Lepisosteus oculatus: one gene and its partner. The protein of the gene in region 1 purifies or fractionates together with the protein of each later gene. This does not show direct contact. Links are inferred from orthologs where the notes say so. Each region holds a gene or a part of one and is shown on either strand. Other genes may lie near its edges.

What was found. Proteins that work in one complex are often made in the same cells at the same time.
Region 2: the proteins of slc37a3 (region 1) and atraid purify together in Homo sapiens (affinity purification with mass spectrometry; 3 studies listed by BioGRID and IntAct, counting the BioPlex papers as one, with this or other methods). This does not show direct contact. The link is inferred for Lepisosteus oculatus from reciprocal best matches to the Homo sapiens genes SLC37A3 and ATRAID.

What each region holds. Positions count from the first base shown.
Region 1 is NC_090702.1:2,560,182-2,563,929, reverse strand, and holds the start of slc37a3 (sugar phosphate exchanger 3), read left to right. Parts: upstream 1-1,057; 5' UTR 1,058-1,163; intron 1,164-1,434; exon of another isoform or gene 1,435-1,454; intron 1,455-1,626; 5' UTR 1,627-1,710; intron 1,711-3,292; 5' UTR 3,293-3,354; intron 3,355-3,430; exon of another isoform or gene 3,431-3,434; 5' UTR 3,435-3,469; coding exon 3,470-3,546; intron 3,547-3,748. UniProt on the Homo sapiens protein: Unlike the other SLC37 members, lacks glucose-6-phosphate antiporter activity.
Region 2 is NC_090697.1:17,176,097-17,179,844, reverse strand, and holds the start of atraid (all-trans retinoic acid-induced differentiation factor), read right to left. Parts: upstream 2,312-3,748; 5' UTR 2,283-2,311; coding exon 2,187-2,282; intron 1,080-2,186; coding exon 949-1,079; intron 1-948. UniProt on the Homo sapiens protein: Promotes osteoblast cell differentiation and terminal mineralization. Plays a role in inducing the cell cycle arrest via inhibiting CCND1 expression in all-trans-retinoic acid (ATRA) signal pathway.

The DNA.
Region 1 (3,748 bases):
GCTCAGGGGCCCCAACGGAGTAGGATTCCTCTGCTGGCCCGTGGGATTTGAACTGGCAACCTCCCGGCCACAGGCACAGATCCTGAGCTGCAGAGCCGCCACTACGTCCCCAACTCTTGTTCAGTGTTGCGAGACTGCTCCTGACTGCGAGAGCGTCCGAAGGGGTTGGCCGCCGGAAAAATGCGGCTATCAGGCCCATCCGGCCCTATGTGCTAGTTAGCAGTTAATCGATCCCACGATCTCATCCTGTGCTTGCTTGAAAGAAGTTAATCGGCTTCAACAGCATGGCTGGGTAACCTGTTCCCCACTCCCGCCACCCTCTGTGTAAAGAAGAGCCTCCTGTCCCGAATGGAGGAGCTCACCCAGCTGTGTCTGGAGAGAAGCACGGGTATGGGCTTCAATAACATGGCAGGGCCGCTTGTTCCACACCCCCACCACCCTTAGTGTAAAGAACTGCCTTGTGTGCTCGGGAGGCTAGAACGAGTGTTCAATGGCTTTAAACAGCTGGAGCAATTTCATTGTGACCTCTGAAACAGCTGGCCTGATCAATGTGATCAATGCAGCAGTTCAGAGTGCCTTTGAAAAGAAAATACAGACATCCTCTAACTTTTAAGGAGCATGGCTAGACATCACTGATTTCATTGAACTGACTCACTCAATGGATCAAAACCCACGTCTGTTCTAAGTCTTTAGAAAGTGTCGATTTAATTAATCTCTCAGAGTGCTGATAGATTTTGGCTCTCCAGAACATGGCCTGGCCGTGTATACAATATGAAAAGTGCATATAGTGTATACAGTGTACATGTACTAAAAAGTGTTAGCTTCAGAGCCGAATGTTAATCATGTGCGACGTTCAGGAGTTTCAGTTTTCCTTTCCCGGGCTAAAACGAAAGCGTGCTAGCTTTTGTTTTGTCACGACCGGGAGGCAATTTAAAAATCTGTCCGCCCCGGCAGGTAGCCGCCACCGCCACCCAGGATTGGCTGGTGACGATAACGTGGTTTAAAAAAAAAAACAAACAAACCTCCCCGGACTACAACTCCCACACTGCATCGCGGTAGCAGCAGGAAGCGGGGCAAGAGCGAAGCTCCGAGAGGCGCAGAGATTGCAAGTTTTTTTTTTTATGTCGTACCCTACAGGGGTTATACCTTGTTAAAACTGATGGGTGAGTATTGAATATACCTCAGTGCGGGATGAAACGGCGCCGTCTGGTAAATTCACTTGAGGATAAGGCATGCACGGTGCGGAAACGAAAGAGCTGTTCCCTGTTTTATTTATTTTGCGCTACGGACAAATAAAGAGTTGTGCAATGAAGTTCTGTCTAGCTCTTTTCCTACCAAGCAGTGCTTTTTTTTTTTAATTTGAACATTTTGAAAATTGCGTGGGCTCTTTTGTGCTTCACGGGGGGTTTTTGCAGCGTGATGCAAGCTGCACCGTGGGCTTTTAAGGTTTGCAGGTAACGTGCGACGCTTTTTCAGTCCGGCGCAACCTTGTGTGTGTTAACGAAACGCATCGCTCGGGCTGTACCTGCGACGTGGCATCATTGATCGGGATTTTACGGTGCGGGATTTTATATTCCTGAGCGACGGGTCGCAGAGACGTAGCTAACTTCTCTTCTTGTCTGACAGCGGTGTGATGGGTCAGCCCGGGTGATTATGTACGTGCCGAAGAAAAGAAAGGCGAACGGACGCTGGATTTGATATTAAAAACAGGTTGGTCACCTCACGCCGTCCGAAAACACCGCTCTCGTCAGATGTCGAATCAGCTCAAAAAAGTTTGGGTCCTTATCTTCCCAAACGCCTTTTTTACCGGTGCTGTGCTTTGTGGACTGTTTGAAGGAGAACCACGTTACGATGCACGTAAAGTTCAGACGCTTTCTGTGTTGAAGATACCCAAAGCTCTTCCTTAAGTTCCTTTTTCATTCCGTTGTTCGGGGTGTTTCTCAGAAGATCTCGTTTGTGATGTTGCTTGCGAAGTCGTGTTTCCCCGTCGTTATGGCTTAAAAAAAAATGTGTCGGGCTTAAATCCCTTATGTCTCTGAATATGTGTCGCCGCCTTCTTCATCTCGGCTGCTTCTGGATTAATGACCTTCATAGTCTCTAAATAGGTCTTCTCGGCTTCTCGAGGTGTCACATGTTCGTATGGGGAATAATGTTTCCATTTACTGCTTTCCCAGCAAACCGCAGAACTAACGGCCCCCACAGACGGGAAACATCTGGCCAAGAACAACTGGAGTCTCTCAAGAGAGACTGTGAGCTCACTGCCAACCTTACTGCCCTTCCAAGAAACTGGCCAGCTCCTGATGGGGGTCCCTGCAGATCGCTGCAAGGCAAAAGATGCTCGCAGAGTGCATTAGAAAATGGATCAGTCCAGTGGGATTCATCTGCCTAAGAATAGTTACTATACTGAGAGGAGGCCATGAGACCATCTAATCTGATTAGTAACAAGGAGCTGATTGAATGTCACTTAACGACCTTTGCTGGGCAGCCTGTTCCCCACTCCCACCACCCTTTGTGTAAAGAAGCCCCCTCCTGTCCGGACTGGAGCCTCTCATCCAGCTGTGTCTTGACAGCAGCGAGGGTGTTGTTGGCTTCAACAACGTGGCTGGGCAGCTCGTTCCCCACTCCCACCACCCTCTGTGTAATGAAGAGCCCCCCCTTGTCCTGACTGGAGGAGCTCACCCAGCTGTGTCTGGAGAGAAGCCAGGGTATCGGCTTCAAGAGTGCAGCTGGGCAGCTTGTTCCACTCTCCTGCCACCCTTTGCGTAAAGACGTGCCTCCTGTCCTGACTGGAGGAGCTCATCCAGCTGTGTCTGGAGAGAAGCCAGGATATCGGCTTCAACCACAGGGCTGGGCAGCTCGTTCCCCACCCCCACCACCCTCTGTGTACAGAAGAGCCTCCTGTCCTGACTGGAGGAGCTCACCCAGCTGTGTCTGGAGAGAAGCCAGGATATCGGCTTCAACCACAGGGCTGGGCAGCTCGTTCCCCACCCCCACCACCCTCTGTGTACAGAAGAGCCTCCTGTCCTGACTGGAGGAGCTCACCCAGCTGTGTCTGGAGAGAAGCCAGGGTATCGGCTTCAACCACAGGGCTGGGCAGCTCGTTCCCCACCCCCACCACCCTCTGTGTACAGAAGAGCCTCCTGTCCTGACTGGAGGAGCTCACCCAGCTGTGTCTGGAGAGAAGCCAGGGTATCGGCTTCAACCACAGGGCTGGGCAGCCTGTTCCCCACCCCTGCAAACTCCCTGAAGCAATGCCACTTTCTAAAGGAAACTTGATTTTTGTCCTTTTTAGTCAAAGAAAAACCAGAAGCCGGTTCTGCTCCTGGAGATTTGTGAGCTTTAAGATCCAGCCTGTAAGTATCATCTCTCATTTTCGTGAGCCTACCTTCCCCGATCCCGCCACCTCTGACTCGCCTGCTGTTCCCTGTAGACGGGTGGTGCCCCCCCCTCCCGACCCCAGACTCCCGTGATGACACCCCTTTGCTGTGGTCTGCTGTCACAGTTCACCCACCACCACCTGACTGCCTTCGTCCTCACCTTCTTTAGGTAAACTCGTCTCCGTCACTGTGGGCTCGGCTGCAGGGCGTACCCCCCTCTCTCCTCCCCCCCCCCCCCCGTCCGGCCTGAAACGTCTCGACCCCTGCTGATCTTTCTTTTTTTTTTTTTACCTCTGTATGGGTCTTCTCTAAGTGATCTGGTTTCGTCCCACAATCCAGAGACATGCTGGTAGGTTATATGGCTTCTGGGA
Region 2 (3,748 bases), on another chromosome or scaffold:
ATTCGGTTTCCTCCAGCTGCCCCAGTTTCCACCTACAGTCCAAACACATGTAGTACAGTATGTAGTAGGTTCACTGGCTTTTGGGACAACAGGCACTGGTGTGAGTGTGTGTGTCTGCACTGCACTGGACTAGTATCCCATCCAGGGTGTTTCCTGCCTTGTGCCCATTGCTTGCCAGGATAGGATCCAGCTCCCCCCGTAATCCTGTACTGGATAAAGTGATTAGAAGATGGATGGGTGGATAACCTGTCTTCAAAGATCAGTAAGTTAACAGGACGTGCCACGGTGCCAGATAATAATTATAATTGCTTACACTTATATAGCACTTTTCCTGACAATCCACTCCACAAGTGCTTTACAGGTAATAGGGACTCCCCTCCACCACCATCAATGTGCAGCATCCACCTGGATGATGTGACGGCAGCCATAGTGGACCAGTACACTCACCACACACCTGCTATCAGTGGGGGGGAGAACAGAGGAATGAAGCCAATTCATAGATGGGGATTTAGGAGGCCATGATCGGTAAGGGCCAATGGAAAATTTAGCCAGGACGCTGGGGTTACACCCCTACTCTTTTCGAGAGATGCCCTGGGACCACAGAACATCAGGACCTCAGTTTTACGTCTCATCCGAAGGACGGCACCTTTTTTACAGTATAGTGCCCCCGTCACTATACTGGGGCATTAGAACCCACAGAGACCGCAGGGTGAGCGTCCCCTGCTGGCCCCACTAACACCTTTTCCAGCAGCAACCTTAGTTTTTCCCAGGAGGTCTCCAGGTACTGACCAGGCTCACACCTGCTGAGATTCAGTGGGTTGCCAGTTGGGAGGTCCAGGGTGACATGGCTGCTGGTGATACAACTTATATTTTCCTCCTAGGAAATTCTTTGTGAAATGAAGGAGGACCAGACAGTCTATGCTTCACACCAGCCGCCACACTCCTTACCCGATAATGGGGCTGGGCAAAGCTTGCTTCTGCAGACAGCAGCGGCCCTCCCTCTCAAGGCTGCTGTTCGACCGGCAGAGATCGCCCACTGCTGTGCCATTCCGCAGATCCCCCTCACACCGGCTACACACCTATCACACAGGCAAAGACAACAGGAACCCACCATCTTTATGGCGCAATTGAAATAAGAACATCAGAAAGGTCACAGACAAGAGGAGACCATTCGGCCGATCCAGCCCCTTTGGTGATTAGCAGTTGATCGATCCAAGGATCTCATCCAGAGGTTTTTTGAAAGACATCGGATTCAAGGCTTCCACTGTATGGCCAGGTGGGTTGTCCCATACTCCCACAGTTCTTAAATGAAGAAAGGTAAAGAGGTGTCTCCTGTTCTTGGTTTTAAACGCACTTGTCTTAAATGCGCAATGCGCTTCCATGCAGTTTCCAGCTGTGTCCTCTAGTTTGTGTTTCAGTGTTTAAATTGTGGTTTGAACTTGTTCCTTTTAAAAGCACTGCCAGTGGATTGAACAAAACACTTTTTAAAATATTACAACCACCTTACCAGCCTCACAATTCAAAATTAATAATGAGCAGTTTTTGACTCACCTAATTACAGCTCTCCTTTCCTGACCAATATAGAAATTTAAAAGCAAACGTTTTAGTACTGAACAAAATGGGATTATCTGAACTACTCTTGTAGGTGGTAACACACAAAACCTATCTGGCAAGTAGCAGCAAGAAAGCTCTCAGCACCCTTCAAGTTCCTTATTTGTGGCTGAAGTTCTGGTTGCATCTCATAATTCTGTTATCTCCGAGATTTTAGTCACCAATATTTTTTAACAAAAGGCACAACACTTTGTTTTGCTCAAGGAAGCTGTCATAAACACATTTTGCAGTATTGTAGCTATATTATCATATATATAATATATATTATCATATATACAGTACATATATCAATGTATATGTCGTATAATGTAATTGTATTATACGACATCAACGTCGTTTGTAATGACATTTAACATTACCATCGTTAAAAGCAAACCTTATACATAGCGCCTTTAATCATAGCATAATCCCAAAACATACGATTAAGATAATCATAATTACATACACATTACGTTACGATAGGCTTCCAAATTACGAGTACCGTACAGATTTATTTCAGATTTTTGAAAATAGTGAAGTATCATTACGTTTCAACAAGCATAACCATATCGAAAATATTTGTATTCTTTTCTGACCTTGTACACAGTTTGCGAATTGCCAGGAACAGCACAAATAGGAAAAAGAAGTACTATAGTACCAACTAGAAACACCCGGCGAGCTCCTTTACCCATCTCTTACTGTAGAGATAGTCCGGGTCACAAGATATATTCGGGAATCACGTGATTTTTGGTTCCGCAGTTCTGCACAAACTCTGCTGCGATCGGCGTTTTTCTGCCAGGGCTCCTGCGTGACGCAACAAACCCCACGTACAGGATTTTTTTGCAGATTCTGCGCAGCTCAGCGCAGTTTTTGCAAACGATGGCAGAAGACGGCAGCTGTGAATTTAAGGTGGTACTCCGGTATAGAAACCCAAAGCCTCTTCTGGAGCAACAATGCGTACAATGCTAGTGTATTTAACTGCCTGAGAATAACGCTGGCAATGGTATTGTGAATTAACTGGACGACGCAGTGGTCAAAAATAATCTGGTTGATTGAACCATTTTAGCCAGCAGCCATATCACTCTGCAACTCCCAACTGGCAGCCCACTGAAGCTAAGCAGGTGTGAGCCTGGTCAGTACCTGGTTGGGGGGGCCTCCTGGGAAAAACTAAGGTTGCTGCTGGAAGAGGTGTTAGTGGGGCCAGCAGGGGGTGCTCACCCTGTGGTCCATTTCGGTCCTTATGCCCCAGTATAGTGACAGGGACACTATACTGTAAACAGGCACTGTCTTTTGGAAGAGACGTGAAACCGAGGTCCTGACTCTGTGGTCATTAAAAACCCAGGGCATTTCGTGAAAAGAGTAGGGGTGTAACCCCGGCATCCTGGCCAAATTTCCCATTGGCCCTTACCAATAATGGCCTCCTAATAATCCCCATCTATGAATTGGCTTCATTACTCTGCTCTCCTCCCCACTGATAGCTGATGTGTTCTGGCGCACTATGGCTGCCGTCGCATCATCTAGGTGGGTGGTGCACATTGGTGGTGGTGGAAGGGAGTCCCCATTACCACTCTTTGAGTGGAGTGTCCAGAAAAGCGCTAGATAAGTGTAAGCAATTATTATTATTTCATCGTTATTTTTGTTTTAATTCAATATTTTACTCTGGCCAAAATGGCAAATGACAGTTTTAATGAGGTTTGTCGTTTGCTATTATGCCGTGCAATATATACGCTGGAAAAACAGCAGCCTTTCACTAGCGGCGTATTATGAAACATCTGATATTGCATCCACAAGCTGTAGGACAGACCGCTTAAGAGTCGTTTTTACAAAGCGGTTTCCCACAGATAAGATAAGATCACTTTATTAGCCATACACAATTTCTTGCATTAGGAATTTGTCTTTTCACATACCCCAACTTCCTCTCCATGAGACACACAGATAGGGAGAGAAGCTTGGGTTAGAGTACAGTCTCAGTCATTTATACAGCACCCCGGAGCAGCTGGAGTTAAGGGCCTTGCTCAGAGGCCCAACAGAGTTGGATTCCTCTGCCAGCTGTGGGATTTGAACCAGTAACCTTCCAGCCAGAGATGCAGATCCTTAGCTACAGAGCCACCACTCTGCCCATGTCTATATCTAAAGCTCTGCAAACCTTCTTCAGGCA